3 linked regions of the Mus musculus genome follow. The protein of the gene in region 3 interacts with the protein of the main gene of each other region in a biochemical or structural test. Links are inferred from orthologs where the notes say so. Each region holds a gene or a part of one and is shown on either strand. Other genes may lie near its edges. The genes, in order: Tnfsf13, Tnfsf13b and Tnfrsf13b.

The links.
Region 1: the proteins of Tnfrsf13b (region 3) and Tnfsf13 form a complex in vitro, tested with the Homo sapiens proteins (2 studies listed by BioGRID and IntAct). The link is inferred for Mus musculus from reciprocal best matches to the Homo sapiens genes TNFRSF13B and TNFSF13.
Region 2: the proteins of Tnfrsf13b (region 3) and Tnfsf13b form a complex in vitro, tested with the Homo sapiens proteins (3 studies listed by BioGRID and IntAct, with this or other methods). The link is inferred for Mus musculus from reciprocal best matches to the Homo sapiens genes TNFRSF13B and TNFSF13B.

The regions. Positions count from the first base shown.
Region 1 is NC_000077.6:69,682,307-69,692,123, forward strand, and holds Tnfsf13 (tumor necrosis factor ligand superfamily member 13), read right to left. Parts: upstream 3,249-9,817; 5' UTR 2,954-3,248; coding exon 2,723-2,953; intron 2,433-2,722; coding exon 2,354-2,432; exon of another isoform or gene 2,227-2,353; coding exon 2,179-2,226; exon of another isoform or gene 2,098-2,178; intron 2,031-2,097; coding exon 1,912-2,030; intron 1,687-1,911; coding exon 1,548-1,686; intron 1,221-1,547; exon of another isoform or gene 1,121-1,220; intron 1,039-1,120; coding exon 929-1,038; 3' UTR 271-928; downstream 1-270. Other genes in the region: Tnfsfm13 (tumor necrosis factor (ligand) superfamily, member 12-member 13), read right to left, coding at 929-1,038, 1,548-1,686, 1,912-2,030, 2,179-2,226, 2,354-2,432, 2,723-2,824, 4,651-4,785, 4,946-5,070; Tnfsf12 (tumor necrosis factor ligand superfamily member 12), read right to left, coding at 4,534-4,785, 4,946-5,070. UniProt on the Homo sapiens protein: Cytokine that binds to TNFRSF13B/TACI and to TNFRSF17/BCMA. Plays a role in the regulation of tumor cell growth. May be involved in monocyte/macrophage-mediated immunological processes.
Region 2 is NC_000074.6:10,002,992-10,012,644, reverse strand, and holds the start of Tnfsf13b (tumor necrosis factor ligand superfamily member 13B), read right to left. Parts: upstream 6,013-9,653; 5' UTR 5,803-6,012; coding exon 5,485-5,802; intron 5,396-5,484; coding exon 5,311-5,395; intron 1-5,310. UniProt on the Homo sapiens protein: Cytokine that binds to TNFRSF13B/TACI and TNFRSF17/BCMA. TNFSF13/APRIL binds to the same 2 receptors. Together, they form a 2 ligands -2 receptors pathway involved in the stimulation of B- and T-cell function and the regulation of humoral immunity.
Region 3 is NC_000077.6:61,123,463-61,133,138, reverse strand, and holds the start of Tnfrsf13b (tumor necrosis factor receptor superfamily member 13B), read right to left. Parts: upstream 6,385-9,676; 5' UTR 6,324-6,384; intron 4,359-6,323; exon of another isoform or gene 4,289-4,358; intron 1-4,288. UniProt on the Homo sapiens protein: Receptor for TNFSF13/APRIL and TNFSF13B/TALL1/BAFF/BLYS that binds both ligands with similar high affinity. Mediates calcineurin-dependent activation of NF-AT, as well as activation of NF-kappa-B and AP-1.

The sequences.
Region 1 (9,817 bases), about 8.6 Mb from region 3:
AACAAACAAACAAAAAACAGCTGGGCGTGGTGGCGCACGCCTTTAGTCCCAGCACTTGGGAGGCAGAGGCAGGCGGATTTCTGAGTTCGAGGCCAGCCTGGTCTACAGAGTGAGTTCCAGGACAGCCAAGGCTACACAGAGAAACCCTGTCTCAAAAAACGAAAAAAGAAAAAAAAACAAAAACTTTAAGCAGGGCGTGATTAAATAGTGAGACACGACCGGTGTGCCAGGGCGTCCAGTACATACAAACTTCCCGGATACCAGTCTGATCGTGGAGAGCCTTTCGTTTATTTGTTTGTTAGTTTGTTTGAGACAGGGTCTCACCATTGTAACCCCTGGGTGGCCTGGAACTCACTATTTAGACCAAGTTGGCCTCGAACTCATCGAGATCTGCCTCCCGAGTACTGTGATTTAAGGCGTAAAGCTCAGTGCCCAGCTCGGAAGTGTATAGGAGAATGGGGAGGATGAATGGCATGCATATCGAGGCACCTAACATATATCTTTTTCTAGATAGTAACAAGAATTTGGACGCAATAGGTGAAATACTGAAAGCCGGGCTTCTTGTTAATTGAAGCAGAGGGTACTTGAAGAGTTGGATAAGGTTTTCCCTAGCAGAGACCATAGTCTTTCCTCAACCTGCCGCTAGATGGTGCTGCTGTTCTGGATGCATTCCAGTGGACAAGGCTTGGCACAGTGCGCAAAACCCCCTTCGCACACACAACAAAAGAATTTGGGGCTGTGTGGGAGATAAACACAAAATATTCTACTTTTTTAATATCCATGGAGTCAAAGCCCAGATAGTGGGAGCGGGAAAGGCAAAGGGAGGAACAACAGTCAAGGCAAAGCCATGGAGAGCTGTTCTTGACCGTTCCTTGTCCTTTGTCTAGCCAGTTTTTGGAATGGGAAATCCCCACCCCCTTTATAACAATCATAGTTTCACAAACCCCAGGAATGTTCCATGCGGAGAAAGGCTAAGTTTTGCGTTTGCCCGTGGAATTTTGACAGTGATAATATCCCCTTGATGTAAATGAAAGACACCTGAGGGTGGGGGAAAAAAACATTTCAGACGCTTCGTTCTGCCTGCTCCAGCCCCTCCTCCATTTTGATTTTATGTTTTCAGTTTTTTGTTGGGGAACATGTGCATGTGTGGAGATCAGAAGACAGCTTGAGAGTTGGTTCCTTCCTTTTGCTCTGTGGGTTCTCGGAATCAAACCCAGGAGGTGAGATGTAAGGGATGGAGCAAGTTACTTTCCTAAGTGAGCGGTCTCACTGGCTTTGTTGAATTTTGAAGGCAGTCTCACTCTGTAGCCTAGGCTGACCTTGAACTTTAGGCTAACCTATCACATGGGCTTCATATGTGGGATTATAGGCACGAACCTAGTTGTTCATAGGCGGGTGCCTTTTCTCCCTGCAAGGACTTTGGCATCTTGTTCTTGAGTCTTCAGATTTGCCTCTCCACCCCCGTTCCCAACTCTCTGGTCTAACTCCCCACTCCAAGTCAGCTCTGCTACCTCATATCAACACTCCACGGAGCCCACAGTTCTCACCTGCACTGTAGCAGCTATTGTAGGCACGGTCAGGATCAGAAGGCATACTTCTGATACATCGGAATAGAGTTTCTCTTCTCCCTTGTCCTTCCCGAGATACCACCTGACCCATTGTGAAAGTCACATCATGAAACAGGACCTGTCAGAGAAGGGAGACGCTGAAGAAAACCGGGATGGCACCATTCAGTCCCTGGAGGCCTCAGGAGCACTGGCAGTGGAGCCAGGCAATAAGGAGGGGGTTTTCTAAGTTTAGTATGAGCAGAGGGATCAGGAAAACCCTCCTTACAGACAGGGTACATAGAAAGAAGAGTGACAAGCCAGTCTCCATGTCCACACGGCAGGCTCAGGGCTTATCTGGGATTACCTGACTATAGAGCAGATAAATTCCAGTGTCCCAGACTCGTACAATGTCTCCCTGGGCCTCCAGGCCTCTCCCACGCCTAAGTACTGGTTGCCACATCACCTCTGTCACGTCAGAGTCTGCTAGAGGTGAGGAGTGTGCAGGTCAGCATTTCCTTACCCTCAGTACATGAGCTCTCTCCCTTTTCAGTTCTAGGGTTCTCTTGGCCCCAGCCCCACAGTTCCTGGTTGGTGCCCCTCCCACAGTGCCGTTATTTAAAATAGTGCTTACCCTTGGAGGTAATGTTAACTGGAACAAGATGCAGGACTGAGTGCTTCTCTAAGGAAAGAAGGAGGAAACAGCAGTGTTGACCTGCCCTGGAGTCCACCCTCACCTCAGCCCTGCTCCGCATCCCTCGTGCTCCTGGGTCACCGCCAACCGCACCGAAACCCCAGGGCTCACTCACTCTTGTGCTTCTGGGTGAGTACTGCTCTCCTTCTCCGAGATTTCGCCCCATCCTTCCAGGCTTCCAGGACATCAGGACTCTGCTCATGAAAGAGGGCCAGAGTTTGACTAAGATGTTAAGGGTCTCAGACAACCTTCTTCCCAGCCCTCCTCAACACCAGGAATAACTGAAATGTATGTATCTGTCATAGGCCCCTGATCTGGGCACTGACTGCCTTTCAGGGTGTTTATTTTCCTTAAATGGCTGTTCCCTTGACTTCCAAATCTAGATCCACCTCCAGCACTTACTTGCAATTTTGCAGATTGAGAGGCTCTGAGACCCCTCTGCCATTCATCCTTCAGCCCTAGATTCCCATCTCCCCTGACTCACCTGCTCCCAGAGGCTCTGCCATGGGCGCTCTCCCTGCTTCTGGGAAGGCCCTCCACTCCGCTGCAGCCGGCTCACCTCCCGCCTTAGGCTTTGCAGCTCTGTCTGTTGGATCAGTAGTGCGACAGCACAAGTCACAGCCCCCAGAACTGCCCCCCAACTCAACCAAAGAGCAACCGAAAGGGCTGGCTCTCTGACTGAGCCCCCCATGTGGCCTGGAGATGAGGCTGGCATGAGCTAGGGACCCTGCCAACAGCTGTGGTCTCAGAAGTGAGGTGGCCAAGAGGTAGCAGGGAGGGTGGGAATACAGGCAAAGGCACAGAAGGGAAGAGCGGGTTACGCAAGGGAGAAATAAAAAGGAACTTGAGAATAGGAAGAAATCAAGCTAGGGTACTATTAGTCCCCCTTGTCCCCAGGGTCGAGCTAGTGACACTCTGACACTCCTTCCCCCCTAGCCTCAGGAGAATTTGGTGCCATTATCTAGGAAGGACAGGGCAGCCGTGACACCCAGAAGGAGCGGCCAGCCTTCAGGAGCCCAGGGGCGGCCCCTAAGTTGGAGGAGGGCAGGTCGGTTGGTTATGGGGCATGGTGCCAGGAGCAGGGAATGGGTATAAGCTGGGCAGCGTGGGGTTTAGAAGGTGAGTGTGGTAGACTCTGACTCAGGCATGAATGAGATCTTTGAGGAGGTTTGTTAGGGGTGACTGGAGATGAAAAAAAGGGGTTTAGGGGCCAGCAGGGAGGAGAACCAGGGACAAGAAACTGGCAGGGTGCTGGGGTTAAGGCTGGGCCGGGTGTGTTGGAACCAGGCCTGCACTACTCCCTGTGCTGAACTTGGCAAGCTGGACTTCCTGTTTCCCAAGAAGAGTTCTTACATAAGGTTCTCTGGACAAAGAGAAAAGACAAAAGCGGCAAGCCCCTCAGTCGGTGCAGCTCTCCTCCCCACGCCCATGTAGCTGGCCCACCGGAATCCTTCCTACGGCTGGTTCTAAGCCCCTTCCCAAGCTAGATCCCATCCCATGTCCTAGCCAGACCTCTGCCAGCACCTGCTCAACTGCTTGAGGCTGCCAAGAGGAAGGGCCCTGCTCCTCCTAGCCAGGGATTCCCCTGCAGGAGGAAGTCCTTTGCTAGGAAAATGAGGCTGCTTCTGCAGCACCTTGAGCAGAGGACCAGGTGGGTTTTGTTGTTGTTTGTTTGTTTGTTTGCATTTTTTTTCTGGTACCTTTGTGATTTCTATTCAGAACTGCAGCTTGGAGGCATGCAGGTCCCTGTTCCCCAAAGCCTAAATCCCCTTCCCACAATCTTCAGTTACTCTGAACCCCAAAGAAGAGAAATCATGATTTATTCTCTTTAATATCCATTTAACATTTTGTCACAATAATAATAAAAATAGTATCTTTTCAAAATCCACAGGGATCCAGGGAGGAGCTTGTCCCCAGCTCTTCCCCCTCACAGTTGGGAACTTCTGGCCTAGTCCCAGGTTCTCTGGCTTCCTGCCACCAGGTCCAGCCCATCTCAGTGCCTGGTGCACAAAGTCAATAAACACGTGGTCGGGTGAGTGGGTGGGGGAGTCAGGGATAAGTAGGGGCTTTGGGAGCTAGTGAGGTGGATAGTTGTGGTGGGATGGGATGTTAAAGAAGAGCAAGGATACGTCTGTGGAATGGAAAACATGTGAACAAGCTCTGGCTGCCTTTGAGGAGAGGACAGGACTGGACCAAGGAGCAGCGAGGGGGTGGAGGAGTGGGGGTGGGGTAGGGAGGTGTGGTGATGCTCCTGGAGCCAGGGAAAGTTTAAGGAATCTGGGAGAGCAAGGCCCCTCAGTGAACTTGAAAGAGTCCAAAGTAGGTTAGGAAGGGGGCAGCCTTAAGATGAGCCCAGGGGAGGGTGCGGATCCGAAGGGAAGACCCTGGCCGCAGCGGCAACAGCCCAGACACCTGGCACAAACGGAGCTGGGGCCCAGGAGAGCTTGCTGCTGTGGCTGAGAATTCTTCCAGGCAGCGCAGGGCCAGCACACCGTTCACCAGCAAGTCCAGCTTCAGGTAGACAGCCTTTCCCTCATCAAAGTGCACCTGGAACAGAGAGAGGCAAGCAAATCCAGACCTCTGCCTCCCTCATCGAAAGCCAGGCATCTTCCTTCATGAGTCGCAGAGTCTCCCTCTCCCACCCATTCCTTGCCAGTCCCTCCTCCCCTTAGCCTTTGCTCTGCCCCTGAAGCCAGGCAGGGCTTACCTGACAGTACAGGTAGTAGAGCCCAGCCCTGATGACTGTAAATTCCCCAATCTGGCGGTCGTAGCGCAGAGGGCTGGAGCTGTTGATTTTGGTCTCTTCCCAGCCACTCACTGTCCCATCCACACCTGAATGGGGGATGTTTAGGGATAAGTAGAAGCCCCTTTACAAGACCCCACACACATTCCCCAGGAATCCATTAAGAGTGTGTGTGTGTGTGTGTGTGTGTGTGTGTGTTTGTGTGTGTGTGTATACACACACATACATGGTACAGCTTGCCCAGAGTATAGGTGGAGCCATGCCCTTATGGTACACGAAGTGATAATAAAGTATTGTGTGATGAAACCTAACATACATGACCAGGAAGTTGTCACTGGTGATTGCTTCTGGGGAGAATAAAGAGTAGTGCTACAGCAGAAGAGTTGGGGTTTTTACATTTTACTTCACGGTTTATGTCCTGAACATCTATACTATACTATACTATACTATACTATACTATACTATATACACACGTGCCCGCATCATTTGAGTCAACTGAAAACAGGTGACAGGCCACAGACTCATGGGTTATGAATTGAAAACTTCCTATACAAATGAGAAGAATATGCCCAGCATTGCTGGTGCACACCTTTAGTGTTCACCTTTAATCCCAGCACTTGGGAGACAGAGGCAAGAGTATCTATGTGAGTCTGAGGCCAGCCTGGTCTATAGAGCAAGTTCCAGAACAGCCTGGGATACATAGAGATCCCTGTCACAAAACAAAACTAAGAAAAAAATAAAATAACTCTTAATGTCCATCAGCAAATGAACAGATGAGTAAATATGACATCCCTGTCTCTTGGTCCATTACTCTGCTGTAGAAAGGAATAAAGAGTTGCTTGCTAGCATGTGAGTGAACCTTGAAAACATTGTGCTCAGTGAAAGAACCACATATTGTCTGCTCCCAAGCATAGGAAATACCTGCAATAAGTAGTCTATAGAGACTGCGAGGGGGCAGGTGATTACTTGAGGTTAGCCATGATGGGACTATAATGTGATGGCTAAAGGATGCGCGGCTGCTTCTTCCTCTTTTTATTACTACTATTATTTTTTGACACTGGATCTCATGTAGCTTAGGCTGCCTCAGACTTTCAATGCAGTTGAAGATGAACTTGAATTCCTCATGCTGCCTTCCAAGTGCTGAGATTATGGTATGTGCCACTTTACCAGACTTGGCCTCATGTTTGTGACAGGCTCTCTATGCAGTCCTAGCTATCCTGTTGTCCACTATATTACCCATGCTGGTCTCTAACCCAGAAACTGGCCTGCACCAGCCTCTGCCTCCTAATGCTGGGATTGCAGGTGTGAGCCATGGTTTTTGGTGATTAACGGTTTACACCTCAGGGTGCACTTTAGTCACAGTAGAGCACAGGATTATACATGTGGGCGGACTGCATGGGATGTGAGAGCTATCTTTTTTTTTTTTTTTTTTTTGGTTTTTCGAGGCAGAGTTTCTGTGTAGCCCTGGCTGTCCTGGAACTCACTCTGTAGACCAGGCTGGCCTCAAACTCAGAAATCTGCCTGTCTCTGCCTCCCTAGTGCTGGGATTAAAGGCGTGCATCACCACTGCCCGGCTGTGAGATCTATCTTAATAGAGCTGCTACCAAAAGCCATGCCATGCAAAGGGCTGGGGATGTAGCTCAGGGGTAAAGTGCTCAGCTAGCGTGCCTAGGACTCTAAATTATGTCACCACAAAACAAAGAGAAATCTCTAGAACTAGTGTAGTCGAAAACTGTAAAGAAAGCCAGGCATGGTGACACACGCCTTTAATCCCAGCACTTGAGGCAGAAGCAGGTGGATCTTTGAGTTCAAGGCCAGCCTGGTCTACAAAGTGAGTTCCAGGACAGCCAGGGCTACACAGAGAAACTCTGTCTCGAAAAAAAACAAACAAACAACAAGGAAGTAGTAGTCAGCTTGGACCTCAGAGTCTATGACTTCCCAGATTCTGCTCCAAGGCTATCACCCCCACCCCACTCCCACCCCCACCACTACTACCACGTCCCATCCTGGCCTTCTTCCTGTCTCCCACCATGCTCCAAGCTCCTTCTCTCTATGGGGCTTTATAATGGTATTCCTCCCCCAACTGCACCCCCGCCAGCTCTTCTCTTCCTGACAATGACTTCTAGTTTCTCCTGTGGGAGTGGTGTGTGTGTGTGTGTGTGTGTGTGTGTGTGTGTGTGTGTGTGTGTGTGATATGTGGGGCGGGGAGTGGGGGGGAGTGGTGTGTGTGTGTGTGTGTGTGTGTGTGTGTGTGTGTGTGTGTGTGTGAGAGAGAGAGAGAGAGAGAGAGAGAGAGAGAGAGAGAGATGGAACAGGTCTATAATCTGATCCTTTGGGATTCTGAGAAAGAAAGCTCCTGAATTCAAAGCCGTGTCTCAAAACAAAGCAAAATAAGACAAGCAAACAGACCCGGCCATGCCCATCTCTGACTTCCCTTCTTGTTCCCCAGCAGTCAGCAAAACATGAACTCTGTATTCATCCCCCCTTGCAAGGGCAAGGACAGCTGTCCTATTCACCCCGACTATCTTCCCAGCACTTAGAACTGGGCCTCACCTAAGGTAGGCCTAAGATGCACGGGTGAGGAGTTACCTGACAGTTCTCATCCTTTGGGTCCACAGGCTCCCTGGGCCTCAGGCCCCACAGTCAGTCAGTCATCCACCCCCCTCAGCCCTCCCTCTCTGCCATCCCCAGCTCTGTTCCTGTCTCTTATTTTTTGTTGCTTGGTTGAAGTCAGAGTCTCACTGTGTAGCCCTGGCTGCCTGGTAGTTACAGTACACTGCCTTGACCTTCCTGCCTCTGCCTTCAAGGTGCTGGAATCACACTGCGCTCCACCCTGCCTGGCTTTCTCATCCCTTTCTCAAGTAAACAGTAACTCTTTGGCTTAGGGTGTGGCTCTGTGGTACAGCACTGGTCTAGCTAGCCTATGGCCCTCCTTCAGTTTGTCTCCCTGTCCCTTCTCCACATTACCCACCCCATGCTCACTGTGGGGTTGGGGGGGGGCAGTGATTCTTTCTGGGCATTTCCATCTGAGTTGTTAGCACAGCCACCTGTCCTTTACCAGCCTCCCTTTACCCAAACTGACCTGACCCCTTAACCCAGAAGGGTGAATGAAGACTCACTCCAGTATCCACACCCCATGCGTGGCTCACAGAACCACCAGTCTCTCCTATACCAATACCAAATTTGCTCAATAATAACAGTTTCCTACTGTTCCCGCTCCTGAACAGCCCTGTCCTCTCCTCCCCTCCCTCCCCAGTCTGGCCTCCTCGGGACTCCTCACTGTTTCCAATTTTGACTTTTCCAGTTTATTCCCCAAAGTATTGGAGTTGCTATGTCCAAAACCTGACTCTCCCTGCATTACCTTTGATGGATAGGTCACTGAAGAACAATCCCTTCTCTCTTTGTGACCTGCCTGCCATCTGTCTTCCGTAGTCTTCTACCCTACCCTATTTTCTTTTACAGGCATGTGCAACCTGCAGCCATCAGAGGGCCCCATGCATCTCAGGGTGCTATGGACATGGCCCAATGTATCTGCAGAGGACATCATGTCACAGTATCAGAAGATCAGGTACCCCACATGTATAGAGCGCTTTTCCACCCCCACCTCACTGAAACTCTTTAACAACCTTCCGCCTCATCAGACTCTTGGGAAAGCCTGGCCTTGCATGGGTCCTGAGCCTGCCTCTACCACCCAATTAAGCTTTGAGGCCTACTAAGGCCTAAATGCTACTACCAGGGGCAAGGAGTCCCTGACTCCACTGTAAAATCGTCTTCCTGTGTGGTGCCATGTATCTTGGGCTACCTTACCATCATTCTTGTCATCTACCACTGTAATTACACATTTACAGACTGCCTGCTGTTCCTCTGTGGTGAATCCTTAAGCAAAGATGTGTGAGTGTGACTCACCGTGGCCTGGCCCCTGGTACTGAGCAGGTTCCTGATTGCATGTATGCCGAGCCGGTGGGCTGAGGCTTGGGGAATCATCAGCTGCCCAATAATGCCGAAATAATGATGCCCAAACAAACCATCTCTCCCAAGGTGAAGAGAGCTAGCCTGGCCCTACCGAACAGTGAGGAAGGAAAAAGGAGAAGGAATACTGGGTGTAGACTGGCTTAGGGCAAGGCTAGTTGTGGTCTGAGGACAGGGTATACTTGGGAATGTGAATGGCTCCTAGGTCACGCAGCACCATAAACCTTCAAGGGTGTCCCATGCTACTTGGCAGCTCCCATAAGGGCTATACTTGTTAGTGTAGCATCTCTCCTCAGATCTTCTGCTGCCATGTCCCTAGTTCCCCTGGGGTCCCCCATAAAACCTACAAGCACCACTTCTCATGTTCCTTTGGCATCTTCAGGATGGAAGTGTGTCATCTCTTCCTTCTAGAATCATCCCTTCTACCTTCTCTAGCCTGTGGGTAACCTTATCCCTGCCCCAAGTGAGTCTCTCATGAAGACTCTGTTCAGCACCTAAGCATGTCCTAGCTGGCTTTGAATCCCACCTCCACCACTTAGGCCTGCCATGACCTTGGGCAAGCTGAATATCCCTCTCATTAGACGTAGGTTATCGGTGTCCTCCTGCTATGGCGGTTGTGGGGATCTGATCAGTTCTAATGCCTACCGGCTACTCCCAGTGCCTACCCCAAAGGCACCGCACCAGGAGGAATGCAGCTTTGCTAAGGACCAAGGTTTTCTCTGACTTACATCCCTCTTTACCGACCAGCCACTTCTCTCCTTCTTGCCGCTGTCTTCTCATTCCCTTTTTCATGCTTGCTGCGCTCGCTCTATCTACACTTCTTTTTGTTGTTGTTTTTTTTCTTTGTTTGTTTTGTTTTTTTGTTTT
Region 2 (9,653 bases), on a different chromosome or scaffold from region 3:
ATTTCCCAAAACTTCTAGCTCAACCAGAACAGGGTTCAGATATTTGGTTATCAGATCCGTATTTCCAATTTTAAAGACAATTTTGGAAATTGAAGAAATGCCAGCTCTTGCAACACACACACACACACACACACACACACACACAGGGCAGGGTTCAGGGGAGCCTTTCCACTGAAAAAGAGGAGAAAAAAAATGAGTGAAGACTGGGTCAAAGATCACCTAGAACAGCCAGCTGTTCTAGGAAGGGGCCCACCCATGCCTGGTAGGAGGCTCAAGTTCACCTAAATGGTTAAGTTCTACACTGCATTCCTTTAGACATGGTGCAGCCTGTAGGTCAAGCTATCCTGGAAAGGCTAAGCCAACATTTCCAACTTGGAAAACAACACGGCTTTCCCTTCCTTGGATTGGATTATGGAGATCAAGAAAGGCCACTCAAAAATAGCATTGGCACTTCTCTTTATCCAAGAGAAGACTTGTGTTACAATATTAGGTATTATGTTTGCATGATATCCTCTAATTTCTAAATTTTACAATTGTTAAATGCAGTAGAGCATTCTGGATGGAACCTAAACTCCCAAGTTACAGCTGGTGTTGAGTTCCTAGATGACCATTAGTTTGGATTTCTTCTTTTGGCCTGGAGCCACATAGTTAAGGGAGGCTGGGCAAAGGTATTCCCAAAGGCTCTGAACTATCTTTGTAACCCTGTATAATTCAAAACCCGATTCCAAACTGAGAAGTCTGTGTGGATAAATGGGTAGAAACAAGGCAGAGTGACCCAAGTTGTCCAATAATTATTTTTTTAAAGATTTATTTATTATTATAGATTAACTACACTGTTGCTGTCTTCAGACACACCAGAAGAGGGTGTCAGATTTCATTATGGGTGATTGTGAGCCACCATGTGGTTGCTGGGATTTGAACTCAGGACCTTCGGAAGAACAGTTGGTGCTCTTACCCGCTGAGCCATCTCAACAGCCCTGTCCAATAATTATTATTTGGAGATAAAATACAGATAGTTCTTGCGTGGTTGTGAATCTTAAACGATCCTGGTCCTTGCTCTTGTGATCTCTGGGTCCCTCTGCCCCCCTTTATATCTCCTAACTGTCCCGTTTCCACCTCTGCTTTACCACTGCTACTGCTGCAGGAGCTTTGATAAATGTTATCCACAAAATAATCAATACAACGTTTTTAAAAGAGAGTTTTGTCTTTCTAAAATCAAAGTATTAGACAATCCTAGACAGAGAATGGGTGTGAGCTAACCTGCATTAGGAACACAGAACATCACAGAGAATAGTAACTTTGTCCACGGAAGTCCACGGAACAACACAGTGGATATGAAATGGTGAGGTCAGTACTACAAAGTACAGACGTACAGAACCTAGTTACTCAGCTCCATTAGAACCCAGTTTTTCTGAGCTAACCAAGGGATACCTGTCCTAATACGTGATGTCTGATACTACACAATGTCAGAGGCTTGGTTGTCTTCAAGGGACGGACACTCATTTGACTTGCGGTTCTAAGGACTGGGATTCCTATGTCAAGAAGCTTTCCTATCTGCTGTCCCTCTGGAGGTACCATCCTAAGTCAGAAAGCAAAGGTACGTGAAACAAAATAAGAATGGAAATTCGCAGCCTCCTGCCCATTTACTTTTCCTGTTGACTAACAAGTGGGGAGATGCTGAAGCTTGGTCCTGGGGCCCCGTGCATTCGAGGCAGAAGCTGGACCACTGAGCTGACTCCTCTTCCCTCGTTAAATTTGAGGCAGGAATCTTTTTTTTTTTTTTTTTTTTTCTGAGACAGGGTTTCTCTGTGTAGCCCTGGCTGTCCTGGAACTCACTCTGTAGACCAGGCTGGCCTCGAACTCAGAAACCCGCCTGCCTCTGCCTCCCGATTCACTGAGCTGCCTCAGGCAGGCACTGAACTCATCATGTGATCCTCCTTCCTTGGCTCCAGAGTAGCTGGGATGACAGGCTAATGCTGTTTGCCAGTAAGCTCTAAAGAAGTCACCTTCTCAGGCTCTAAAGATGTTCTTATTTAGATTGTGAAGTGAATAAAGATGTAGCTCGTGAAGGCTCACAGCACAGTCCTGTGTGATGGCAGTTTTAAGGAAACTAGATTATGTAATATTTTCAGATCATGTTGCTCAGTTTTCTTTATTATTATTAAGAATCTTTCCAAACACATTTAAAGGATTAAGAGTGAATTGTTGGTTATGATAAGCTATTTGGCAATTCTTTATTCCTGGATTTCCCCACATTTCTGTTTATTATACTATAATAAAATGACCTTATAAAATGTACTAAGCTTAATAAAATATAATTCCAATTCAAATTAGCTAAAAAAAAAAGTATGCCAAAATGCTAAGTTTTAAAATTAAGCAAAAGTACTAATTGTCCCCGGAGGACTCAAGAATTGGCAGGGATCTGTGTTTCCCCTCTGCTGCTGTGAGATGAGATAGGATGGAGATACCCACAGCTCAGACACAGATATAAGCAGCTCCCAGATAAGAGCCTTAGTGGACACCTTGAAAGTAAAAGGAACACCCCAGGTTATTTTAAGTCCAAGAAAACAATCAGAACAACCAGATGTGTAACACAAATTCACAAAAGCAAATACATTTTTCTCAATTTAAAAGTAAGACTCGATTAAACCACAATAGAAAATCCTCGAGTTTCATATAACTTTTGTGGGTTAGTAGATAATCACAGTGGTCACTGATCACAAAATAAAATTTCTCGTTTCAAAGGGATAATATATAAAACAAGAGTCAATACTGTAATTGTCTAGGAATAGGAAATATTTCCTTTCCTTGAGTCTCATATCTGAAACTTTCTCATCTTGGGTTTATGAGTATTAGGGAAATATATGTAAAGAAAAAAACAAAATACATATATCATACATTGACAGTACATTGTTCTTTAAATTTTACAAATTATTAATTATTTTCCCTCTCCCAGTTGCATCAGTCTGAAATATTTGGATGCATAAATTCACAAATCTATAAAATATACAAATGGGAAAATTTTAAAAATTATATCATTACAGGATATTTAACCCTAGTATTCCTCTCTCTTTCTCTTTCTTTCTGTTTCTGTCTCTCTTTGTCTCTTTTCCTTCTTTTTCTTCCTATGTAGCCCTGTTGGTCCAGAACTTTCTATATAGATCAGGCTGAAATCTTTAATTCCATCTACCTCCAACGTTCTAGAATTAACGACATACATTATAATTCTCTGCTCTTCTTTACTCTTAAAGCTCTTAAAATGAGTCTATGTTCTCTTTAGAATGGCGAAGTTGTGGTTTCTTTTTGAAACCAGTCCTTAGAAGCCTGGAAGTGTAGCAGACATGACTTAAGACCTCTGTGGCATCTCGCCTGACTATTAGGTATTGATGTCCACTAAAATGTAAAACTACTTAGACCATCCGAAGCAGCTGGGCAGAGAAATAGGCCAGTGATAGCACATAAATCCAGTCCTGCATAAAGGACTGACTCCACAAGCTCACCAGCACAGAATTATGGAAAATAGTTGCATTCTTTTGTTTGAGACAACAGCCTGAAGGGGGATGGAGAAAGGAGGAAGTCATACAAGTGTGAGAGGCTTTACCACAACAAAAGACACAGGGATTAATAGGTTAGGAGCAAAGGAAGGCTTGGTCAGAACAAGAGACAAGTAAAGGGGATTGCAGCTTGGTAATTAGAAAGCCAGGGAGGGGCAAATGTGCTTTAACTTGATAAACCAGAGGAAACAGAAATCCCTTTAAGAGACAGACAATCACAACGGCTCTGTATAGGTTTGAAGAAAATACAAGGTGAAGCGCAAGTAATTACATCAATGTCAAATTGTTAAAATAAATAAATAAAAAGGATAGATAACTAACCAATTAATTTAAAAATACAAAATTGAAAATAAGATAAAAACATGTGAACAGTATTTATAATTAGTGGATGGGGTTCACACTCAAACTTGAGGAGCTATCTGATGCTACATAAGTATGGAAATGAAGGTACAACGATGAAATTCTAATGAGCATATAGAAACCTGTCACCCCAAAGAGTTCACAATAAGAAACTTGAATAATAATCTATGGTTCTATTGAATGCATAATTCCTCAGACACAAGAGATACACACAAGAAAAATTGTGTATCCTGTATCAGTCACAGTAATAATAAAATCATTATTTAAAGCACAAGCAGCAAATTAGACAAAGGGAATTACTAAGAAATCAGTGAGATATTTATTGTAAAATAAGAAATAAAATACAGCAGAGTGTACTGCTTGTACCATTATGTGCGCTGTGATTATGCACTGTTATTACACACACCGTGACATACAGGGCACTTATTACATGCTCTGTAATTATGTGCTATTATTCCATCCATTGTGGTATATGTACTGTTACTACATATGCACCATGGCATATGTTCTATTATTGTGTACAGTGCACTATACATGCTGTAATTATTTCAGCAAAAAGGTTAGAAGGTAGCTAACACTACATACAGTAAATTTCAGATTTGCACAAAAATTTTGGTACTGCGGTGCATGTAATATTTTCATACTCTTTTGGCATGTAACTTAGAGAGTCAAGAATTTTTGTTGTTTATATAGCTTTTAAGCTGTTTTTCACTCAGACTATCAGGTAAAAATTTTTTTATAAGAATAAAAAGGCAGTCAACATCAGGAGTGTGCTGAATTGTATTGTTAACAAACAAGTATTGCTTCTTTTTTTCCTCATGAAGCAAGAAGAAAAGTCCATTTCAGTAACTCCCAACTCTGCAAAACGCTGGGGAATGGACAACAACCACTGAAGCCACACCAGACTGATTACACGGAAATTATGTTGCATATGGAAAGGGTGCATTACAGTCTTTGCCATTTCTGTGTGTTTTGCAACTGCCCCCACAATGTGTGTGTGTGCGCGCGCGTGTGTTTAAAAAAAAAATTAGTAAAACCTCATAATGCAGGGTTTGTCCACATCTGAACTTGGCCAGAACATGGGAAATCTGAAAATGCTAGGGAATGGCTTCTTGTCTGGGATGCAGGCGGTCACGTGACTGCGGTGACAGGAAGAGCTCTGCGGCTAAGTCCTTGAGCACACATCAGTGCGAGAGATCCGTGCACCCTAGTCGTCTTGTCACCTCCCACAGGGATCCTCCTATCCATACACCCTGCTCAGTGTAGGGCAAGGCACGCCACGCAGCTTATTGCAATTGCTACAAAGCTACACAAAGTGCTTCGTTCACCGCGGCCGGGCGGCTTGCAGGTGTGCACAGCACAGCCCCAGCTCTTAACTGCTGTGCCCCAGCCGTACCTGTTTCCTCTGGTCCCTGGAAAGCGCGTCTGTTCCTGTGGCCGCGGCTGGAGTTGTGGGGTCGAGGAGCTGCCGGTGTCAGGAGCTAGGAAAAGAGACAACCAGTCCGTTACTGGACAGCTGTGGAGTGGCATACCTGGGGCTCCTGCACAGGCAGAGGAGGGGTGAACTCACTTTGACTCCAGCGGTCAACTCTGGAGCACCCGCGGCGGCTGGTGTTGCTGAACCTCGGTAGCTCTGCAGCTCCATGCGCAGGTTCATCAGGTCTGCTTGCAAGGCAGCCAACTGGTACAAGGACATCGCTGTGAAACTGCTGGACAACAGGGCCAGCAGGAGGGTAGCAGCCAGCAGCCTTCCATCCCTGCAGATCCCAAACCAGGCACCCTCCTCCTTCTGCGGAGTGATGGGATCATATCCCACTTTCATATCTTCTCCTTTCTCGGAGCAAAAACAGAGGCACGGTGGTGGCAGGGTCTTTGCAGACTCATCCATTCCACGAGGAGCACTTTGAAGGTCTAGGCCTTTGGAGTAAGTGACCACAGGGGTGGGTCATTTCCTGTCATCTGTGTCCTGGGAGACTGCCCTCAGAGCATGGCAGGGCTGGGTTCCCCCAGGAGCGCTCTCCTGACTTTCTTCTGCATCTTTTGCTACCCTGAAGTAGGTTCTCTGGCTCTGGCCTTCCATGGATTGCTCAATCTGCCTTCCGCATTTCACTTTCAGTTTTTGTAAGATGTTTCATTCTATCTCAATACAGTCCTGTTTGTGGGAGATGCGAGGCCTCTGACACGGCGGCTGGGGGGGGGGGCAGCTTGGGGTTCAGACTGACTCACTCCAGACAAGCTTATCGAAGGTGCTTTCCCTTCAGTGTGCTCTTAAGAACTGTCTACTTGGAGCCACATGGCTTCTAAGGAAGGGGAAAGGGGACACTGAAGGCCTAGTGGTGTAATAAACGATAATTAATGTACAAGTCAGATAAGCTCAGTGCTTGAGTCTGAACTGCATTTGGCTGCCGGACAAGGAAGCCAACAGCTCCCCAGTGGAAGATGAAATGGAGCGCCATAAAGCTGAGTGACTGAACTCCATCTGAACTCTGCTCTCGTCTTGGTGGGGCAACGAAGAGAACATGCTACAGCTCTATTTAAGGCCACACCGGGGGTGGGGGTGGGTGGGGGTGGGGTGGGGGAGCTTTAAATGTGGGGTGGATTACAGGGAAGCATGGCAGAGACTCAGTCCCCACCCCCACCCCGCTAGGAGCTGACACACAGTCTCCACATTGATGGCACTCGTTTCACAGGTATGGACACAGGATGTCCTCAGTCTGTGCCTGGGCTTGGTGACATGAAGGCACTGCTCCATTCATTTTAGTCTTTCCTGGTCTGGAAGGCTGGCTGGGAGCCTGGTACCTCAACATCCGTTTATCTTCAGTCAGCACAGGCCATTGAACACTTAGCCGAGACTCCATTTGTCTAAACCTCGGGCTGCTGAGCAGTGGTTTTGCCTCATGCTGCCTTCCCTCAGAAGCTTAGGAAGAAAATCTCAGAAACAAGGACACACAGCAGCAAGGATTCCAGAGGGAGGCTTCCCCACCACCCATCCAGCTTCTGCCCCTGGCCCTCCCTCATGAGACTTAATGGTAGGATTAGAATTCCACCACATGATAAGCTGAGACAGGAGGATTGTGGGTTCAGGGTTAGCCTGGGCTCCAGAGCAAAACCCGGCTTCAAAATCAAGCACATATCTCAGGTATGTGTTATTACCAAATCACATACAGAAATTAAATGACTCGAAGAAGTGCAAGACCAAAGGACGGCACCTTCTTCCTGTTCTGTATAATTATCCAGAGGGAATTATCTAGCTGGGCTATAAGATGCCCTTTGCCTTCTCTGCTCTATAAGGCAAAGAACTTCATGGCCAAACTCCTCAACTTAAAGCCCAGACCAATCTGAGTCCAGGTCATTTTAGAATAAGTGTCCAGTGTTGGTTCAGGTAGTGGTTGTCACTGTGCATCAATGGCCACTGCTTCTTCCAAAAAAGTTTGTCAAGAAGCCTCCTTCTGGCTAGCAGGCACCACTGTACAACGCCCACAGAGTTCACACAAAAACAGCTCCTTTACAGTGAGGGCTCTTAGATTTCTTAGGAAATGAACGTTATCTCTCCCTAACTCAAAGGTTTGCTTCCTGCAGAGGAAATGGTTTGATGATCTAATCTGAGATTTACTCGATGGTGAGTGCACTCTTTATTGCTTGACCACCGCACAGCACTGGTGTACTCACTGCCCTTCGGCAGTTTGTGGGTGGCCACCACGTACGGCACATCTCTTGGAATACCAGATAGTTAGATCTTGTCTTGATGCAATAAGTTGGTCTGCATGTTGGTGCTGAGGAAGTTTGCATTAGGTTTTTTGAGAAGGGATTGCTGTTTCCTGTGGGTTTGTTGGTTGTGGGGGATGCTAGGATGTTGCTAATTATTTCTCCCTGTCCTATTAGTATTTTTTTGTTTGTTTTTTTGTTTTTCTGACTTGCTGTGTTGGCCATGCCGGATCCCAGCTCTCCTTTGTTTCTGCACTGCTCTCATGTATTTATTCTTTCCTGGGCTTCTCTGAGTGAGACTCTCCCCCTCCCCTAGATAGTATTCAGACAGATCATTTCTGCAGCATAGACCCCACTGCCACGCGCTGCATAAAGTGTTTTTATTTCTATCAATCCTGACTGGCAATCACTTACTTTAAGGTCTTAAAATACAATATTCCCTACTTTCCTGGCTGTTATTCTGGTGTTTCTGCCCACGGAGAGAACTGGCGTTTTTCCGTTACAGTTTTTAATATTGTTTCTTTGCTATGTATTTTTTGACTGAATCATGAGATGGAAATGTTCTTCTCTGGTGACTTAAGTTGGGGACTCTCAATTCCTCGTAAGATGCCTGTTTCCTTTGGGTTGAGGAACCCCCTGCTCCAGCTCCGATGACTGGCGCTCCCCGGCTGTGTGGGCTTGTGGCTGTGCGCACTCCCAGTTGGAGGTGCTACTGTCTCAGCTTTGGCTGCTGTCCTGTAATGTTTCTTTTGCTTGGTTGTATCCGTCATCATCCTTCCCACCACGTTCTGATTTCATGAACTGACTCTTTACTACTAGCACAGCTACCTGCTTTTTATTTTCAGCCTCAATTTCCATGATTTTGGCTATTTTACCCATATGCTCACTTTTCCATAGTGGTTTTTTTTTTTTTTCCCTACATGAATAAACTTGTAGAATGAATAAAGATTGTAAATGGAATCTTATAAGATTGGACTGCACGAGTGGCTGGGTAGCCCTACTATGACTATGTGTGCAGGACAGGCTGAGAACCCGGTGCCTGCTTAGTCCAGGAAACCAGATGCCTCACAAGTCTCAATATGTGACTGAAACTCTGGAAGATCCCAGTGCATCAAGTCCATGGTGGAAGGGTGAAGACATTGGGCCCTGGGACAATTGAAAGGCAGCAAGAGCAGCAACAGGAGGAGATGCACTCGTCAGCAAGAAACAAAGGTGGGCAGGCAATACTGTCTCCCCGCCTCCATCCCAGGGGCCATTTATCTGTGGTTCACTCCTCAGGGGTCACCTACTCTGGAAGAAGGCCTTCTCTCTCAGTTCATCCTTCGTGAGGGTGCCCTAACAGCCAGCCAGGTATATCTCTTCAGCTATGCACCCATCTTTATGGTTTGTTCCATTCTAATTCTCTTGTTGATTTTGTCCTTTATTAGGAATCTTCAGCAGGGATTCTTGGTTACCCTTTTCTTATTTATTGATAGGAACACATTTAACTGACATAAACTGCTTGGTAAAATTCAGTTCTGTCTGATATCTTATTATTGATGTTTTATATAAAAATGTGAAAATATAGTTTGGATTTTCATTTCGGCTAAGATGTTACCACAAGGACATGGGGGGGGGTGTTTTAGATTTTAGGAATGTTTATGACCTGACTCATTGATTTATAGTTCCCTGAATTTCATTAGTGTAATTCCTCATACTGCTCCTTTGTGAGGGTTAGGCTTTAGACATTTGAAGACGACATATCCTTGATATTTTCTTATTCTAATCTAAAATGTCTCATTTACTTACTTAATTAAATAATTTTGGTTTGTATGATTAGTCGGACTAGCCAATAGAAAGTTTCCTATAGCTAATTATTTTTCTGCATAGCTATATAGCTATTTTGTGTTTCCTTGTGGTTACTGAGGGTATTTTATGTTGTGGTATATTATTACTGACTATATATGACTACATATAATATTCAATATATTATATATACTTGTACTGGCTAGTTTTGTGTCAACTTGACACAGCTGGAGTTACCACAGAGAAAGG
Region 3 (9,676 bases):
GCCCAGGGACTACAGACTGCTAGACAGTTTCCACCTCTTAGCCACGCCCCAACCCCAACACAAATCAAAGGACACAGAAGATTTAAAAATAAAATTATGGAGCAAGATATTTCCTGCATTGCCAGGTTGTGGTGGCTCAGGCCTTTAATCCCAGTATTTGGGAGGAAGAGACTGCAAATCTTTGTGCATTCAAGGATAGCCTGGACTACAGAGCAAACCCCAGGGCTACACAGAGAAACCCTGCCTTGAAAAGCAAAAATAAAGGGAAAAAATGCAAATCATGCCCAAAGAACAGATGCAAATTTACAACTATTGTCAGACAAAATACATCGTATGTCAAAGCCCCAAAGAGACATTAAAAGAAATAAAACCACAGACCAATATGTCTTATGAATACTGGGACAAGCGCCTCAAAAAATGTCAGCACATGCACCCCACAGCATGTTATTCGCTGTGATCAAAAGGGGGTTGTGCTTAGGCTGCTCCAAGGATTCGGCTTTGCAAAGAGCCATCGCTTCCGTGTACAACAATGAAAGAATTAAGAGGGAACGACACAGTCGGCCAAATGGGTACAGAAAAGCCTTTGAGAAAATCCAACACCTTTTCATGGTAAAACAAACCAACACAAAACTTCTGGCTGATTACTCCAAGTCCCAGATCCTGTGGTATTTACTTCTGGGTCAAGTATGCCTCATCCAATTCTCTAGAAACTATGTATCAGCACCCTGTGAACATGAACCTGTGAACACGGTTGCTGCATACACATGAAATTTAAGTAAAGGCCTGGCCCAAACCTGGCACTTAGGCAAAATGACAATGGTAGTTATCATGGTGATAGACACATAGATACACAGATAGATGATACATACATACATACATACATACATACATACATACTGGAATGAATAGTTACATGGTAAAAATATTAGCAACCAGACGCCATTGAATTCTCATAAGCTCACAAAGAGCAGTCCTTAAGAAAACTAAGGAACAATTTAACTTATGGTGGCATAAAATAAAGAAATAAAATACTTAGTAAAGTTAGCCAATGAGGTGAAAGAAGTGTATGCCAAAAATTATATAGAATATTGTGGAAAGAAATTACCTAAAAAAAAAGCCAAAAGATACCCTGTGTTCATAGACTAGAAGACTTAAGAAGTCAATATGGCCCAAAGCAACCTACCAATCAGAATTTAGAACAGAATCCTAATGACTTGTTAAAAAACATAAATAGGAAACCCTATCCTAAAAATTCAAATGGAATTACTAGGACCTGAGAATAATCTTTAAAAGAAGGGCGAGCTGGGGTCACTCTTCCTGGCTCTGAAAGAGGCAGAGCTGCTGCAGTCCACAGCGTGGTGAAAGCACAGACAGGGGTCTGACCAGAGCAGCTGGATAGGGAAGGCAAACCAGTCTTCACCTGTATGAGCAGATGGCTTCCTTGCAGGCGTACCGTGAGCATTCAACGGGGCAAAACCCAGTCTTCTCAATGAATAGCTGATATCATTTAAATTAGGGTGTCATACATTTAAGATGTTATACCAGCGTTGAAGGGAAAGCTGGATGGACACATGCAAATGGAGTTAAGTCCTTACCTGATATCATTAAAAAATAATAAAACTCAAAGGGCTGGGTGTGGTAACCCATCCCTTTAATCCCAGCACTCAAATGCAGAGGTAGGCGGAACTCTGTGAGTTCGAGGTCAGCCTGGTCTACAAAGGGAGTTTCAGGATGGCCAGAACTGTTACACAGAAAAACCCTGTCTCAAAAAAAAAAAAAAAAAAGTAAACAAACAAATAAAATCAATTGATCAAAGAAGGACAAGGGGAAGAAGGTGTCCCCAGCCCTTAAAGTCATCAAGAAACAGGAGGCTAAAAAGGTGGTCAACCCTTTGTTTGAGAAAAGGCCCAAGAAGTTTGGCATTAGTCAGGACATCCAGCCCAAAAGAGATCTAACATGCTTTATCAAATGGCCCTACTACATCAGGCTGCAGCGGCCAAAAGCCATCTTCAATAAGTGGCTCAAAGTACCTCCTGCCATTAACCAGTTCACCCAGGCCTTGAACAGGCAAACAGTTACTCAGCTGCTTAAGCTTGCCCACAAGTACAGGTCAGAGACAAAGCAAGAGAAGAAGCAAAGGCTACTGGCCTGTGCTGAGAAGAAAGCTGCAGGCAAAGGGGACGTCCCAACTAAGAGACCCCCTGTCCTCTGAGCAGGAGTCAACACAGTCACCACCTTGGTGGAGAACAAGAAGGCTCAGCTGGTGGTGATTGCCCATGACGTAGACCTCATTGAGCCGGTGGTTTTCCTGCCCTGTGTCGAAAGATGGGGATGCCCTACTGCATCATCAGGGAAAAGCCAGGCTGGGGTGCCTGGTCTACAGGAAGACATGTACCACTGTTGCCTTCACACAGGTTAACTCAGAAGACAAGGGTGCTCTGGCTAAGCTGGTCAAAGCTAGTAGGACCAATTATAATGACAGATATGACAAGATTCACTGCCACTGGGAGGCAACGTCCTGGGTCCTAAGTCTGTGGCTCACACTGCCAAGCTGGAAAAGGCAAAGGCTAAAGACCTCGCCACTAAACTTGGTTAAATGTACACTAAGTTCTCTGTACGTAAATATTAATTACAAAATTACCTTCCCGGAAAAAAAAAAACTAACTAAAAATTGGGCTAAAGAGCTGAATAGATATTTCCCCCAAAATACGCATGAATGAACAACAAGCACAGGGAAAGGCTGGACCCAGCTCAGCACTGGGCAAAGGCAAACTCAAACCAGCAAGAGGCCACATCCCCTGCTAAGGACTGCTGCTACAGTGCAGGGACAGAAAGTGAGGACTGCAGGTGTCAAATGGGACTAGGCAGTGTTGTGACCACTTTGTCAAGTGGCTTGGCAACTATTTAAAAATTCAACCAAGTCACCACGGGAGCCAGCAATTCCACACCTGGGTAGCTGTATAGCCAAAAGGATGAAAACACACTGCCCAAAATATAACCACTCTCACAAAAGCATTTTTCTCTGTCCCCAGTGAGTGGCAACCACTCGAATGCTGGCCATCTGATGAATGAATAAAAAATAGTTTATCCCTAAAATGTGATATTATTTTAGCTATGAACATGTAGCTATGGTCATGCTACAAAATGGGTGACCTGTGAAAACATGTGAATCACTAGGGAACACGGAATCACAGCACACACTGAGCGCGATGCTGCTGATACAAAATATCCAAAAAAAAAAAAAAAAAAAAAAAGCAAACCTCTAGACATGGGAGATCCGTTAGCTGTGGTCTGAGGCTGGAGGTGGGAGAAAGTAAGATTAATAAGGATTCTTTTGGGATATCGGAAACATCCTAAAATTAGGTTGTGGTGATAGGTACACAATTGTGATTCTACTAAAAACGGAAATTCTTTTAAGTGGAGCTACTGCCATCCCTGTGGAGTGAGTGAGACGAGCAGGTCAGCTTGAGAGAGGCTCCAGGACCCACCACAGCCACGGCCTCAGACCGCAAGACTGACCAGAAGAAGCTATGCCCACCCTTCTTTCTCACCCACCAACCAGATCCATGTAAAGCCCAGAAGCCCCGCCCAGCCCCTAGGATGGGCAGGAGACCTCCAAGAGTGACGGCAACTGAGTCAGAAAAGGAAGCTTGAGGAGACAGCACTGCTGGTAGATAGCAGGGAAGGAGGAACTCCTCTTGTAACCTAGACCGGTTCCTGCGAACCCTAAAACCCAAGAGTCGGCAGCACCTCCAATTTCTGGAGGCCTCCTGACATGCTTGTCTAGATGGCAAGGCGCTGCTCCACGGAAAACTGATGAGGCAGATTAGTCTGAAACCTTCTTTTAAAAAGTCAAGGCAGCAGCTTGCACCACACAGAAAGACCCGGCATATCTGCACCGTGGTGCTACAGGCTCCTGACCAGGACTATAAGGTTACACTCCGTACCACATGCAAGGCAGGGGCGCATCACGCCGCTCCTCTTCCAAGCCCCAAACTGATGGGTCTTCTCACCCCTTAGTCCAGGCGTCGAGGAAGGCAACTTGGAATTCTTGCGCCTTTTAAAAACTGGATGCAGTTTGGGATAGGGGGTGGCGCACGCCTTTCATCCCAGCCCTTGGGAGGCAGAGGCAGGAGGAACTCTGAGTTCAAGGTCAGTCTCATCTACAGAGAGTTCCAGAACAGCCAGGGCTATACAGAGAAACCCTATCTTCTTAAAAAAACAAAACAAACAAAAAACAAAGCCAAAAACTTGGACACAGGACATGTTTGACTATTATTGTGAATACCTTTAAAGAGGAAGGGAAGACTCGGCTTTCAATACCAGTCAGGTGCCTGTTGTGAGCGAGCAATCCTACGCTGCAATAGAACAAAACAAGACAGTTTTAAGAACGCAAGGCCCAGCTGGGCGTGGTGGAGCACGCCTTTAATCCCAGCACTCAGGAGGCAGAGACAGGCAGATTTCTGAGTTCGAGGCCAGCCTGGTCAACAAAGTGAGTTCCAGGATAGCCAGGGCTATACAAGGAAACCCTGTCTCGAAAAACCAAAAAAAAAAAAAAAAAAAAAAAAGAACACAAGGCTCAAATTACAGCATTTTGCTATTAATCCAATATTAATCCGAATAGTTTACTTGTGCATATATATGTATATGTATATATATATACATATATATATATATATATATATATATATATATATATATATATACATACATACACACACACACCAGTTTTCTATTTGAGTAAAACAAAATTGTTATGTGAAATACATTAAAGTGGTTACTTTCATTTTAATGGCTTTCTATTACTACTACTACTATTACTATGTTTTTTTGAGGCAGGATCTCACTATGTAGCCCTGACTGTTCTGAAGCTCTCTGTAGACCAGGCTGGCCTCAAACTCACAGAGATCTGCTTACCTCTGCCTCCCAAGTGCTAGGGTTAAAGGTGTGTGCCACTAACCTAGCCAGTGGTTTTCTAGTTTTAATTTCAAGTGTAACTGCTTTAGTTTTTATTATTATAGAGAAACTATGAATGGAAAGAATATATACCTATTTCATGATAATACAAATGTAATAAATATTAAAATAATTATTTTAAATGTTAAATTATTTAAAATACTGAAATAAGGTAGAGGATTTTTTTCTAACTTCCCAGAACCTTTGAATGTCACTTTTCAAGAGGGTCTGAAGGGTTGACTGCAGATTTGCGGTTTGAGGCCCATTTTGTAGGTGAAGAGAAGAGACTTATCCGAGGCCAAGGGCCAGTGTGCAAACTAAGAACAGCAGTGACTTGAACTCTCCACCTGTCTGGGCTCTCACTGAAGCACTGGAAAGCTAATGTGGGTTCCAGAACATTCTTCCCTGATTCCTAACTGCTGGTCCCAGGTCCTCTGACATTTCCTTTTGGGTCAAGATGGCTCCTGACCATCACCTCTTGCGATTCTCTGTGAAACTCATTCGCATCCTTGGTGGACATGGTTGCTGGACAGAGATGGAAATCCTAGCAAAGGCCTGCCTGAGTCTAGCTTGGGTAGGGGGATGGGTCGAGAGCTGCTGTGAGTGGTGGGTCCTGATGACTTTGCCTTGGAGGAAACTTTTTTTTTTTTTTTTTGGTTTTTCGAGACAGGGTTTCTCTGTGTAGCCCTGGCTATCCTGGAACTTACTTTGTAGACCAGGCTGGCCTCGAACTCAGAAATACAGAAATCCGCCTGTCTCTGCCTCCCGAATGCTGGGATTAAAGGCGTTCGCCACCACCGCCCAGCTTGGAGGAAACTCTTTAAGGAAACTCTTTAACACTATAGGATAAACAGCTCTGATTCATCAGCAAAAATCAGCAAGAAAAATAAGAAGGCAGATGGGGATAGGTAGAGTCTGAAATACAGAACCCACTTTTCTCCTGAGGGCCATGAAGGTCTGATTTGAATCTGCCCACCGAGGACACACATCATCAGCACTTCGCGCTCAACACCTGTGCTCGTAGGCGCGTCACGATATTAAGAGTTCTTAGAAATTCACAGCAGTTAAGTGCGGGCAGAGATCTAAATGCTGCATCTCGAGGCATCCAAAATTTACCAGATTCACTTCAAACTAATCCAGGGGCACAAGGAAACAAATCTGGAGCACGTGGATAGAAAAAAGAAGGTTCCTGCCTGTTTGGCTGACCCCACTGGCAGGCAAGACCTGACCCCCGGAGGCCTCTTCCGTGTGCAGGACTGAAGCTGTCCCAAAGCTGAGTAGCCTTAGCTTGTGCCGTGGTGGCACTGCTAGATCTCCAGCCCCCGGAGCACCCTCTTGGCCCTCACCCACCACGGCTGGCTACTCACCACGCTCCTGCGCCAACAGCTCCAGCCTCCTGCCTGCCCTGGCCTACACCACTCATTACTCAGGGCGTTTATTATTAGCCTGAGATTTTGTTAGGCCTAGGCCACACTTCCTGGGTTTTCCCCTTCGACCTGGGGATGTAAATAAGCCACCCTGCTGACCTGCGCCTGCGCTTTAGTCCAGGGAGGACAGGTAAGCGACCTGTCGCTTTTGGCTTAGCAGTGAGGGCTTAGCCTGGTTGTATTAATGACAGGGCTTTGACACTTCTAGATCTTCTCTGGCCCGGCTCCTGCGCCTGGTTCCTGTCCACTGCCCACTGCCCACTCTCCAGGCTAGGATGTCCAAACAGCTCTTGTCCTCCCCACATAGCCTTCCCTCCTCTTGGACCATTACATCCTGTGCTGCTGCCTGGTCAGTTCTTGCTGTCTCTTTTTCAATGATCAGTTGAGATGTCACCTCTCCCACGAAGCCATCTGTGATTGCTCCCAGGACGTTAGGTGTTACGTGCAGTCCCTGTAGATCTGGGTTTTGCTTCAGGGTCTGATACCTTGGTAAGGACTTGTATATAAATTGTCTCGTACCTCCATGCCCTCATTTGAAAAGTGGGCCCTTGAGTCATTGTGAGAATGACATGAGTTCACACAGTCACTTGTTCTTTGTCTGGCTTTTAGTTCCTTTGACACAGGTGTCACTATGTTGTCTGTCTCAAGAGCCTCCTGTCTCAGACTCCAGAGGGCTGGGATTTCAGGTGTGCTCCTCAACGCCTGGCCACCACAGGCCCCTTCTTATAGCAAGTTCTCAGCACACAGTGACTGAGAACTCCATGTCCAATATATGACATGAAGAATCAATGCTACAGCATCAACTTCATTGCTTAGACTCCCTGGTCTTCAGAATCCTGCAGGGATAAGAAAGTCTAACAACTGCACTCCCAAGTTCACTGTAGTACTGTTCACAGTAGCCCAGATACAGAGGCAATCTGCATGTCTTCAGTGGATGTGTGTGGACAATGGGATTCTCTTCATTCTCAAAAGAGAAGGAAATCCTGCCATTTGTATGAACACGGATGGAACTGGAGAACTTTATGTATAAAAATGGAAGTCTGGCTGGATGTGGTGGCACACGCCGTTAATCCCAGCATTTGAGAGACAGAGGCCGGCAGCCTCCTGAGTTCTCTGCTAGCCTGGTCTACAGAGCTAGTTCCAGGACAGCCTGGGCTACAGAAAAAAACATTGCCTCAAACAAACAAACAAACAAACAAACAAACAAAAGAAAAAGAAGTCATGGCCTAGAGCGAAGGCCCAGCAGGTACGTGCACTGACGCTGCCCTACAGAGAACCTGGGTACAGCTCCCAGCACCCACAGGATAGCTCACAAACATCTGTAACTTGGGTTCCAGGGGATCCAATACCCTCTTCCAGTCTCCAGGGACCCCCAGACATAAGTGTGATGCACAGACACGTATTCAGGCAAGACACCATACACATAAAATTTTAAAAATTGGGGCTGGAGAAATGACTCAGCGGTTAAGACCATTGATTGCTCTTCCAGAGGTTCTGAGTTCAATTCCCAGCGACCACACGGTGGCTCACAACCATCTGCAATAGTATCCGATGCCCTCTTTTGGTGTGTCTGAAGACAGCAACAGTGTACTCATATAAATAAAACAAATAAATCTTTTTAAAAAATTTAAAAAATGAAATCAATGGCTTAAATTGGAAAAGGAGCCAGTCATAGAAAGACAAAAGCCACATGTCTCTGTGGGACAGAGATCTTACAACTGGGAAGAAGATCAGTCAATGGAGGCTGTGGAAGGTCGGGGACAAGTTGGTCAGAAGGTCCCAGCTTCAGCCAGGTAGTTCTGTGTTTCTGTTGTATGGCAGAGTGTCTATGATTTATAGTACTATGCTGTGTAGCTCAGAACCCCTCCATAACCGCAGTGCAGCTCAGTGGTCAAGCATGGACGAGGCCCTGGCTTCATCCTCGGCACTGGAAAACAAATGGCATACACCCTTAATTCCGGTGCTCAAGAGGCTAACGTAAAGGAACCAGCTCCTATGTAGCTCTAGGCCAGCCTGGACTACATAGGAACCAACCTGGGCTACATAGGAGCTGAGGGTAAGGGAAGCCTTGGGTTCAATATCCAGCAGAGAAGGGAGGAGGAAGAGAGGAAAAGAGGGAGACAGTGAAGAAGGGAGAAAGGGGAGGGAGGAAGGAAGGGAGAGTGGGAGAAAGGAAGGGAGGGAGGGAAGAAAGAAGGAAAGAAGGAAGGAAGGAAGGAAGGAAAGAAGGAAGGAAGGAAGGAAGGAAGGAAGAAGAAGAAGAAAGAAAGAAAGAAAGAAAGAAAGAAAGAAAGAAAGAAAGAAAGAAAGAAAGAAAGAAAGAAAGAAAGGGATAGTGGGAGGAAGAATGAAGAAAGGAAGAAAGGAAGGGCGGGAGGGAAGGAGGAAGGAAGGAAGGAAGGAAGGAAGGAAGGAAGGAAGGAAGGAAGGAAGGAAGGAAACAAAACTGTGACAACCCAATGTCATCCATCAGGTTCTAATTCTCTGAAGGATGGTCCTGAGACAGGCTGCAAGCGAGCTAGGAAATGTGAGCATCCCTCTGATGGAGCTTCTGGCTGTACAGAATCATTTTAGGAGACTATCTACCCAATACTGACCCTGAAAGCCCATCACTGGAAGCTTGTTAGTGGCAGCAGGAGACTGACAGCAATGTGGCTGCCATCCACTGGACGGTGGCTGCATAGCCAGGGTGCAGAGGTCAAAGGCAGAACCAACACTGTTAAGGTGTGCAAAAGACTGGGTTCAGTGGGACAGGCCACTGAGAGAAGTGCTACAGCAGGATGCTGACAGTAGGATGCACACACGCATACATGCACATGCATACATACATACATACATACATACATACATAAACACACATGTACACATACATCCTCACATACAGACACAGTCACACATATATACATACATGCACACATATGAACACATGCACACGTATACATATATATATACATGTATACATACATGCACATGCACACATACAGAAACATTTGCACATATATACACACATACATATATACACATGTACACATACACACACACACACACACACACACACACACACACACACACACACTGGTGCTATTTTTCCCAGAACTGTGTGCCTGGGAATGTGTCATATGACAAGGTGGGACAAAAGGGTGATGTTTGAGGGAACTCCAACCCTACATGGGAGGTTTTCATAGCTAGTGTTAATTAACTACAACCAGCAAAACCACTGCTGGGCCAGGGGAGTGACAGGTAAAGGCCATTGCCAGGAAGGAACATTCTGCCTCTGGGTAGAGGGCAAGCTC